2 linked regions of the Rattus norvegicus genome follow. The protein of the gene in region 1 interacts with the protein of each later gene in a pairwise test. Links are inferred from orthologs where the notes say so. Each region holds a gene or a part of one and is shown in the gene's direction. Other genes may lie near its edges.

Region 1 (3,632 bases):
CCCTGTAATCTCCAAGAGCAGTAGTTGTCAGCAAATGAACGGCATTAGGAGAGCAGGTTCTCCCCAAGTCTATTCCCTTAGACCTTGATACTCAGTCGAAGGTGTCTTTTGAGTTCTGATGTTATGTGGAGTCTGGCAGGATTTTATATTTATAGATATTAAAGATTTTCCTTTTTTTTTTGATCTCACTAAACTCAGACATCTGCCAGTATTAAAGGCTCATTCCATTATGCCCAGCTAGTACAAGCATGTGGTGCACAGACATACACGCAGATAAACCACTTACACATAAAATGACTAAGTCTAGTTACAAAAAGACACGAGGCTTGACCCTTCTCTCCAAGGGTGATGAGTTGAGGATCTTTGCCCCTTCTTTTACGGCAGTTCTATCTGAGAATTAAACTTTGTCTTGCTCTGAGCCCTGTCCGCCCCCATCCCAGGGCTGTTGTTACCTGTTTCGGTGACTTCAGGTTGTTCAGCTGGACCTTTGTCCTGAGCTGTCCTGGTGGAAAGGTTACTTGAGCATGTGGGATAGGTAGGTGGGCGATCTTGTCCCTGAAGGGAAATAGGCACTTTAGCATCTATAAGAACCTATGCTTTGGGCTGACTTCCAGAGTTGCATTCTGAAGGTTACAAAAGGATGGCCTCTGCCTTTCCAAGCCTCTCATCAGAAGAGTAAGTAGTCTGTAAAGTGTTATTTTTTTGTCCTGGCTACCTAATATTTCAGTTCTGAACAAATAGTACTAATATCCAGCAGGAAATCAAGTCATTGTTGCCTGTCAGATTTACCCAGGACTCCTATGGGCAGTTGTATAGTGTCGTAAGTTCTTTGAGTCTTTCTGTGTCTGTGAACCTCCCAGTCTTCCTTCCAGCCCTCGTACCTTCACATTAGAGCGCTCTATTCTGCTGTTCCTCCGCCTTGGCCCAGGTGTGCCAGTCCCTTGCCTCAGGCACCTCAGTGCTTGGAGAGAGCTTTTCCTCCAGTCTAATACAGCAGCCAGCAAGGAGGCAGCCAGTGTCTGGCTCCCTCCTCCTGCAGTTGCTGTGTGTTATTAAACACCATAAAGGTGACATCATTTCCCCCAGAACAAGTTTGTACAAATGCTCCCTCAATCCTTTATAGATCTCTCTTATTCTGATTTTTATGGGGGTGTGGAGGGGGGCAGTCATGTGTTCAGAGGCAGAGATTGGTATCTAATATCTTCCACCATCATTGTCTCAGATAGAGGCAGAGTCTAGAAGCTGCCACCTTACCCGGGGAATCCCCTGCCTTGACCTCCCACACACTCCCGGCATTGACTCAGGCACTACAGATGTGAACTCCAGCCCTCACGCTTGAAGGGCAAGCACTTTACCCTTTGACCCATCTCCCCAGCTCTGTTTTGTTGGGGTTTTGTTTTGGGTTCCATGTTTTCTAGGCTGGCTTCCAGCTGTCTGCGTGTGACCTAAAAGTCCCGGTCCTCTCGAGTGTTGGGATTATAGGTGTGAACCACTATACCGAATTTATGCAGTCATGGAGATTGAACCCCAAGGCTTTTTGCATGCTAGGCAAGCACTCTACCAACCAAGCCACATTGTAGCCCTTATTCTGCTTTAAATATGCACATGCCACATGTTGTGTTACCTCACGGTCAGCACTGATCTGTCCTCTCTAGGACCTGAAGTGGATCTTTGGCATTTTGTTGTTGCTCCCGATCTGGTTGAGTCTCTTGTTTGGGAAACCCTTCAGCACTTCCTAAAGCCTGATAGCATTCATGTCCAGTAATGCTCCCGGGGAGGCATTCCCCATCGGTTGTGTCCCGGTATAGTCTCATCATCGGAATGGGTGCTGTTAGCCACTGGGGATCTACTGGTCCCTCCTGCCTCGCCTGATCAGTCAGTGTTCCTTCATCTCCTGGTAACGGCATGTACAGTCAATACACCGCAAAGATAGAGTGAATTACTCCTTGGAAGGAAGTCTTTCTGTGGGGAAGGTTGTTATTCTGTCAGTTAAGCAAGCCATGTTGTAAATGTCCAACACCCGAGACCTCCACAGGCCTGGCCAGAGGGGAAGCAGCTGCCTGGCCCAACTGCCCAGCTTCCTTAATCTCGGTTTCCTCTTTCAGGTTTTCCTTCACAAGCTTTCTGTTACTCGCTGTGGTGTTTCCTTGCCTTTCTTGTACCATTTGGAGCAATCTAACCATTCTACTTCAGGATGAACAATTTATTATTCTCCCAAACAAATCCTTTTTAGAAAACAAATTCTGTTTTTAACTTCCCTCACCACAGAATGTCTTCGTACTTACTTCATAGTTGTGCCTTTCTTTGCGTTTCGCTCATGGTTCCTGCTTCCTTCCTTGAAATGCAGATCATCAGACCATGTGTTAGCTGTGGAGCAAGAAGCAAGGCTGGCTACTCTGTACAGCAAGTTCCCGCAGCCAGGCTCTCTAGTCGCAGCCAAACAGTAACAACAGAGTTATAGTTTAAAACAAACTTTACAGAAACAGCCAAATTTAGACAGTTCTTTTCAGTAAGCTATATTTTATGATTTTATGATGTCTTCATCAGAATGCAGCGCAATTCCTTTCTGTAATCTTGCTTATATAGAATTACATGCTAGTTCCAATCTTCACTCATGGTGACCTCACTTTTGGGTTCAGGTCAAGAACAAAGCAACCCTAAACTGTTTCTCTACATGCACACAGTTTAAGAAAACTTGTTTATTAACAGACCCAAACATATTTTTAGCTTTGCGAATAGATTCAAGATATATATATGTCACTGCTAAGATTACCCAAGTCTTGTAAACCTAAAGACCTCTAGTTTAATGATCAGTTCCATTTTATTTAAGCATTCATTTATCTGTAAACCTACTTGAAGAATTCTTGGGATTTTTTTTCTTTTTCAGTCATCCCCCCCCCCCCCCGCTCTCTCTCTCTCTCTCTCTCTCTCTCTCTCTCTCTCTCTCTCTCTCTCTCTCTCTCTCTCTCACACACACACACACACACACACACAAGCTTCAGACTCACTGTGTAACTCAGGCTGGTTGTTCAGCCTTCCTCTGGATTCCAGGCGTCCTGCTGTGATGGAGCTTCAGTGCTAAAGATCACTCTCCTTTTCTGTGTCAGTCACCAGCCTCTGTCCTTGTTTTGCAGCTTCTGGCTGATGCCAGCGTTTATGCTCAAGAAAATAGTTCTGGGGAACTTTTCCTCTGGCCCAGTGGACCCGATGATGGCTGATGCCATCGATTTCATGGTGGACAGGGTAAGAACGGTGACACTGTAGGCACTTCCACTGGGGTTTCCGTGCACGTGTAAAGGGGGTCCATCATCTGTGGTGTGCTCAGGGGAGGTCTTTGTGAAGCCGTCCTCTGTATTAACTGTAGTACTTCAGACAGACTCTGCTTCTTCTGGTCAGGGCTTAGCTGCATCAAGGTCTCCCAGCAGCTGCTGCACATTCAAACCCAACAGCAACTTAGAAAGCAGAGTGATGCTTGCTGGGGCCTAAACCCAGGAACCTGGCACTTGGGAGGCAGAGGTAGGCAGATCTCTGTGAGCTCAAAGCCAATCTGGTCTACAGAGTGAGTTCCAGGACAGCCAGGGCTACACAGAGAAACCCATCTTAAAAAACAAAAACAGGGGTTGGGGATTTGG
Region 2 (4,141 bases), on another chromosome or scaffold:
GGGGTGCGTTCCCCTGAATCTGTTAGAAACAGCTCTGACCTAAGGGTGTCTGGATGAAAACCTGAAGCTCTGGGAAATTTTACTTTTTCATGATTTTAGCCTAGTAAGCTAATACAACTAAAGATTATGAACTGTTAGACTCACGACTAAAACTTACAATATCGTTATCTAAAACCGTTGCTATCACTGAGTCTCTGGGCTGATCTATAATGTCTTTGCAATAGAAAAAACTGGGTATAGCATCAGAGTCCAGTTAGCCATGCACATTGAGGAGTAACTCGAATACCGAAACCGCCCGATCGGGATCCGCTGAGCCTCCAGAGGGCAGTGTTGCTTTCATAGAAGAAAGACCTCTAAGGTTCCTTGGAGGCTGCTCATGGGAGTCTGCTCTGGGGTGCACTTGTCTGTTTTGAGGAGAGCAGACAAAACTCAAAACTTCCGTTTTCCTGGTCCTTTTATATAGGCTGCTACCAGGAGGTGTGACCCAGGTTTAGGGTCGGTCTTCCGGTCTCAAATGACCCAATCAAGAAAATTGCCCCCAAGCACTATGCAGCTAGCTAGGGTTTTAGATGATTCTAGACGCAGTCAGAAGGACAACCAAGATTCCTCTTCCTCTCCCTGGCCCTGGAACTGAACCCTCTGGACTTCAGCTCTACCAGCCAAGGAAGGATACTTTCCTCCCCTCCCCCACCCCACCTTAAGATTCCGCTTGAAACCAGCGCTTTGACTTTTGCTTGGTTCACAGGTACTTATTGCTTCTGTGCTGAGTGCCTCTTTACCTCACTCTCTAGGAAGCAAGTAGATCTGTGCTATTCGCTGACTTAAGGCCCCAGAGCAGAAAATCCCTAAGGTGCCCATCTAAAGGGGAAAGAACTGGTGATAGGTCACCAAGCAGGTAAACTCCCTCCACTTGAAATCAGAATCGCATCTCAGTAAATACCAGTTCTAATACTCATATAACAAAATCATATAACAAAAGCACAAACAAGTGAAACTCTTTACCCTCTACTCCGCTCCACCCTTGGGAAGCCTGAGGCTGAGAACCCGGTTCCCGCCACTCTTCCGTTCCTTCAAGAAAAGAAGGCGACCTGCCACCACGGGGCCTCTAAGCGCCCACCGCCAAGTATGCGAACTACTCACCGGGTGATGGCCCTGGCCGACTGCAGAGCAAGAGAGGCGGCGGCTCTGCGGGGAACAGGGAGGGACCTCCCGGGAAACGAAACTGAAACTTTGCCTCTCGGGTCTCTGGGGCAGGACGCGCCTTCTCTCTGTCCTGGTTGTGCAGCACCCCTGAGCCCCAAGCGAGCCAGACGCAGCCAGCCATGGCCTCCAGTCCGGACCCGCCGTCCCCACTACTCGTAAGGCTGCCGGAGTCCATCCCCCGAGCGCACATGAAGCTGGAGATATATTTCCAGAGCCGGGCCTCCGGAGGCGGGGAGTGCTCTGTTCATCCCGTGGGGCCCGGCGCCCCGGACACCTTCGAGGTGAAGTTCCTTGAAAAAGCAGGTGAGCCGGGGCAGGGGAAATAAGGCTCGGGTGCAAAGGTGGATCCAACAGGTTTCCAAACCGACCCCTGCATGCTTCCGAGGAGAGTGTGGCTCTCTCTGCCTGTGGGAGAGTGCGGTCCACAGACTCCTCCATCGCTCAGTGGCAGATAGAGCCTCAGATGAGTCCACCCGCAGACGGTTGACTCCATCGGAGAATTTCCCAGCAGACCCAGTTAAGAAAAGAAACAAAGTGTGGGGGTTGGGACTGAGAAGGAAACCCAGAAGCTTGTGCGCACTAGGCAAGTGCTCCACCACGGGTCTGGACTCCAAGCCACTTTCCTGTTGTAAATAATGATCTCATCGATGTGTTTTTTAAGGATTACAAAAGTAACATACGACCACTTTAAAAAGGAAAGGCAAATGAAAACTTAATTGAAGATTGTTTGGTTTTGGTTGGTTTTAGAGACAGGGTTTCTCCCTGTATCCCTGGCTGTCCAAGAACTCGCTCTGTAGGCTGAACACAGAGATCCTCCTGCCTCTGCTGGGATTAAAGGCATGCGGTGCCCCACTAATGTCCCCAATGAAAGCATTTTCATGCATTCTTTTTCTGAGTCAGCTAATGCATATACGTTCTAGACTTTTGGATTCTTGGGTTTTTTTGGGGGGGTCCCCACTTAACTATGCAATAACTATTATTCAACGTCATTGAAATAAGAGACTCAAAACTATTACAAAACATAGGTTTCCCTCCCACCCCCACCCTTTGAGACAGGATCCTGCCGTGTACCACGGATTGGCTTTGAATTCATGATCTCCCCCCCCCACACACACACACACCGCTACCTCTACCATTTAAGTGCTAGGACTGTGGGTGTGTACCAGCATGCCCAGACTAGAAACGTGGTTTCTAATAACCAAGTTATATAATATGGTAAAACTTAAGCTCCCTACTTTGAAGTTCTGAATAGCTTCTCCCATCAACAGCCTGCTGTTCCAGAATATGCCAGAAATAACTGTTCACGTCCTCTGTGTGCATCTGACAAGGGGCCTACAACAGATACTGCAAAGGTCCAACTTGGTAAACCAATGTGTTTATTGGGGTTACTCACAGGAATATGGGAAATGACTCAAAGACAACTCTATCGCCAAAGCTGACCTAGCATGGGGGGCAGCTCAGGAAGCTGGGAACCTGGAGCTCACTGTAGAGCCTGCAAGCAGGCTCCTGAGCATATCCCTTCCAGGTGCCTCAGCTGGTGTAAACCTCCTCCAGGGAGCTTAGTGTCCACCTTCTGCAGGTAGCTTCTCTAGTGTCAAAGTTTTCTTCTCAGCTTGGCTTGTCCGAGAGTCTCCTATGCAGATCTTCATCGAAGCTCTGTTCTTGGAGTCTCAGGAGGACTCTTCCCAACAGTCTTTATTGCTTACTCTGTCAGGGAGGGGCCTATTCAATTTCGGGGATTTCCTAAAGCTATTTTGAGTTGTTTGCCTTCTTGCTTAAGGAACTTCTCTGCAGGGTAGAATGTTTCAATCTTGGGGAAATTTACGCAACAGTTCCACACTCTAGGGTTCACCCGTAGTGTTTAGCTTGCGTGAAGGATTAAAAATTCATCTAGAAATTCTTAAAAGTCTCTGTGGGCAGTGGTGGCACATGCCTTTAATTACAGCACTCTGGAGGCAGAGGCAGGCAGATCTCTGTGAGTTCAAGGCCAGCCTGATCTACACCGGGAGTTTCAGGGCAGCCAGGACTACCTGGTGTCTCAAAAACAAACAAACAAACACAAAAGCATAGGGGAGAGTATGCGTAGCTTATGTGAAAGCCCTAAGCTTGTTAGGGATATCGCTGAAGGTGGTGTCCTCGGACATTTCTGGAATCAACCTAGAGGGACCCTGAGGGTCATTTCTGTAAATCCTCTCTCATTGCTGTGTGAATGTATGTGTTTAATGTCTCCCCTCAAGATAAGGAGAATGTGTTGAAAAGGGGAAAACACAAGCTGTTGGTTGATGACAAATCTGTGCCTATTGTCCTGGAAACTATTAAAAAGCCAGAAGAGGACCTGAGACCCAGACCTCCATCACTGACACAGCCAGCTGAGACACCAAGCTCCCGACCTCCGTCCTTGACAGAGTCCCTGGATGAAGCACTGGGTGATAAGATACCCAGTGATGGGCCCGTTTTTAACTCTGTTGACTCAGTTGTCCAAAAGGTGAGTGCTGACAGAGGAGCTGGGCTGCTCTGGGGTCTGCTTCCCCTCGGGGTATTCAGGCAGTGTTGTGCACAGGTAAGAATGAAGCTTAGTTGGAACAGGTAGATTATCAGGATCTCAGTCAGCCTGAGTTAGGGAGAAACAGCCTTCTCTGGACATGGGTTTCAGTGAGACATCCTTCTTGTTACACTGGAGAAGGGTGAACAAGGCTATATAAACCTGAGAAAGTAGGTAGGAGTTTGGGGGGGGTGAGTGTCTTCTTTTTATTTTATTTATTTGCTTATTTTTGTTTTTGTTTATGTTTTTTTTTCAAGACAAGGTTTCTGTATATAGTCCTGGCTGTCCTGGTCACTCTGTAGACCAGCGTGGCCTCAAACTCAGAGATTACCTGCCTCTGCCTCCTGAGTGCTGAGATTAAAGGCCTATGCTACCACTTCTTGGCTGCTTTGGGGT

What was found. The genes of interacting proteins can lie anywhere in the genome.
Region 2: the proteins of Spg21 (region 1) and Dtx3l interact in binary tests that used the Homo sapiens proteins (3 or more experiments, as listed by UniProt). The two-hybrid records come from large-scale screens. The link is inferred for Rattus norvegicus from reciprocal best matches to the Homo sapiens genes SPG21 and DTX3L.

What each region holds. Positions count from the first base shown.
Region 1 is NC_086026.1:74,893,087-74,896,718, forward strand, and holds part of Spg21 (maspardin), read left to right. Parts: intron 1-3,134; coding exon 3,135-3,243; intron 3,244-3,632. UniProt on the Homo sapiens protein: May play a role as a negative regulatory factor in CD4-dependent T-cell activation.
Region 2 is NC_086029.1:78,319,017-78,323,157, forward strand, and holds the start of Dtx3l (E3 ubiquitin-protein ligase DTX3L), read left to right. Parts: upstream 1-1,322; coding exon 1,323-1,506; intron 1,507-3,440; coding exon 3,441-3,688; intron 3,689-4,141. Other genes in the region: protein mono-ADP-ribosyltransferase PARP9, read right to left, coding at 1,141-1,393.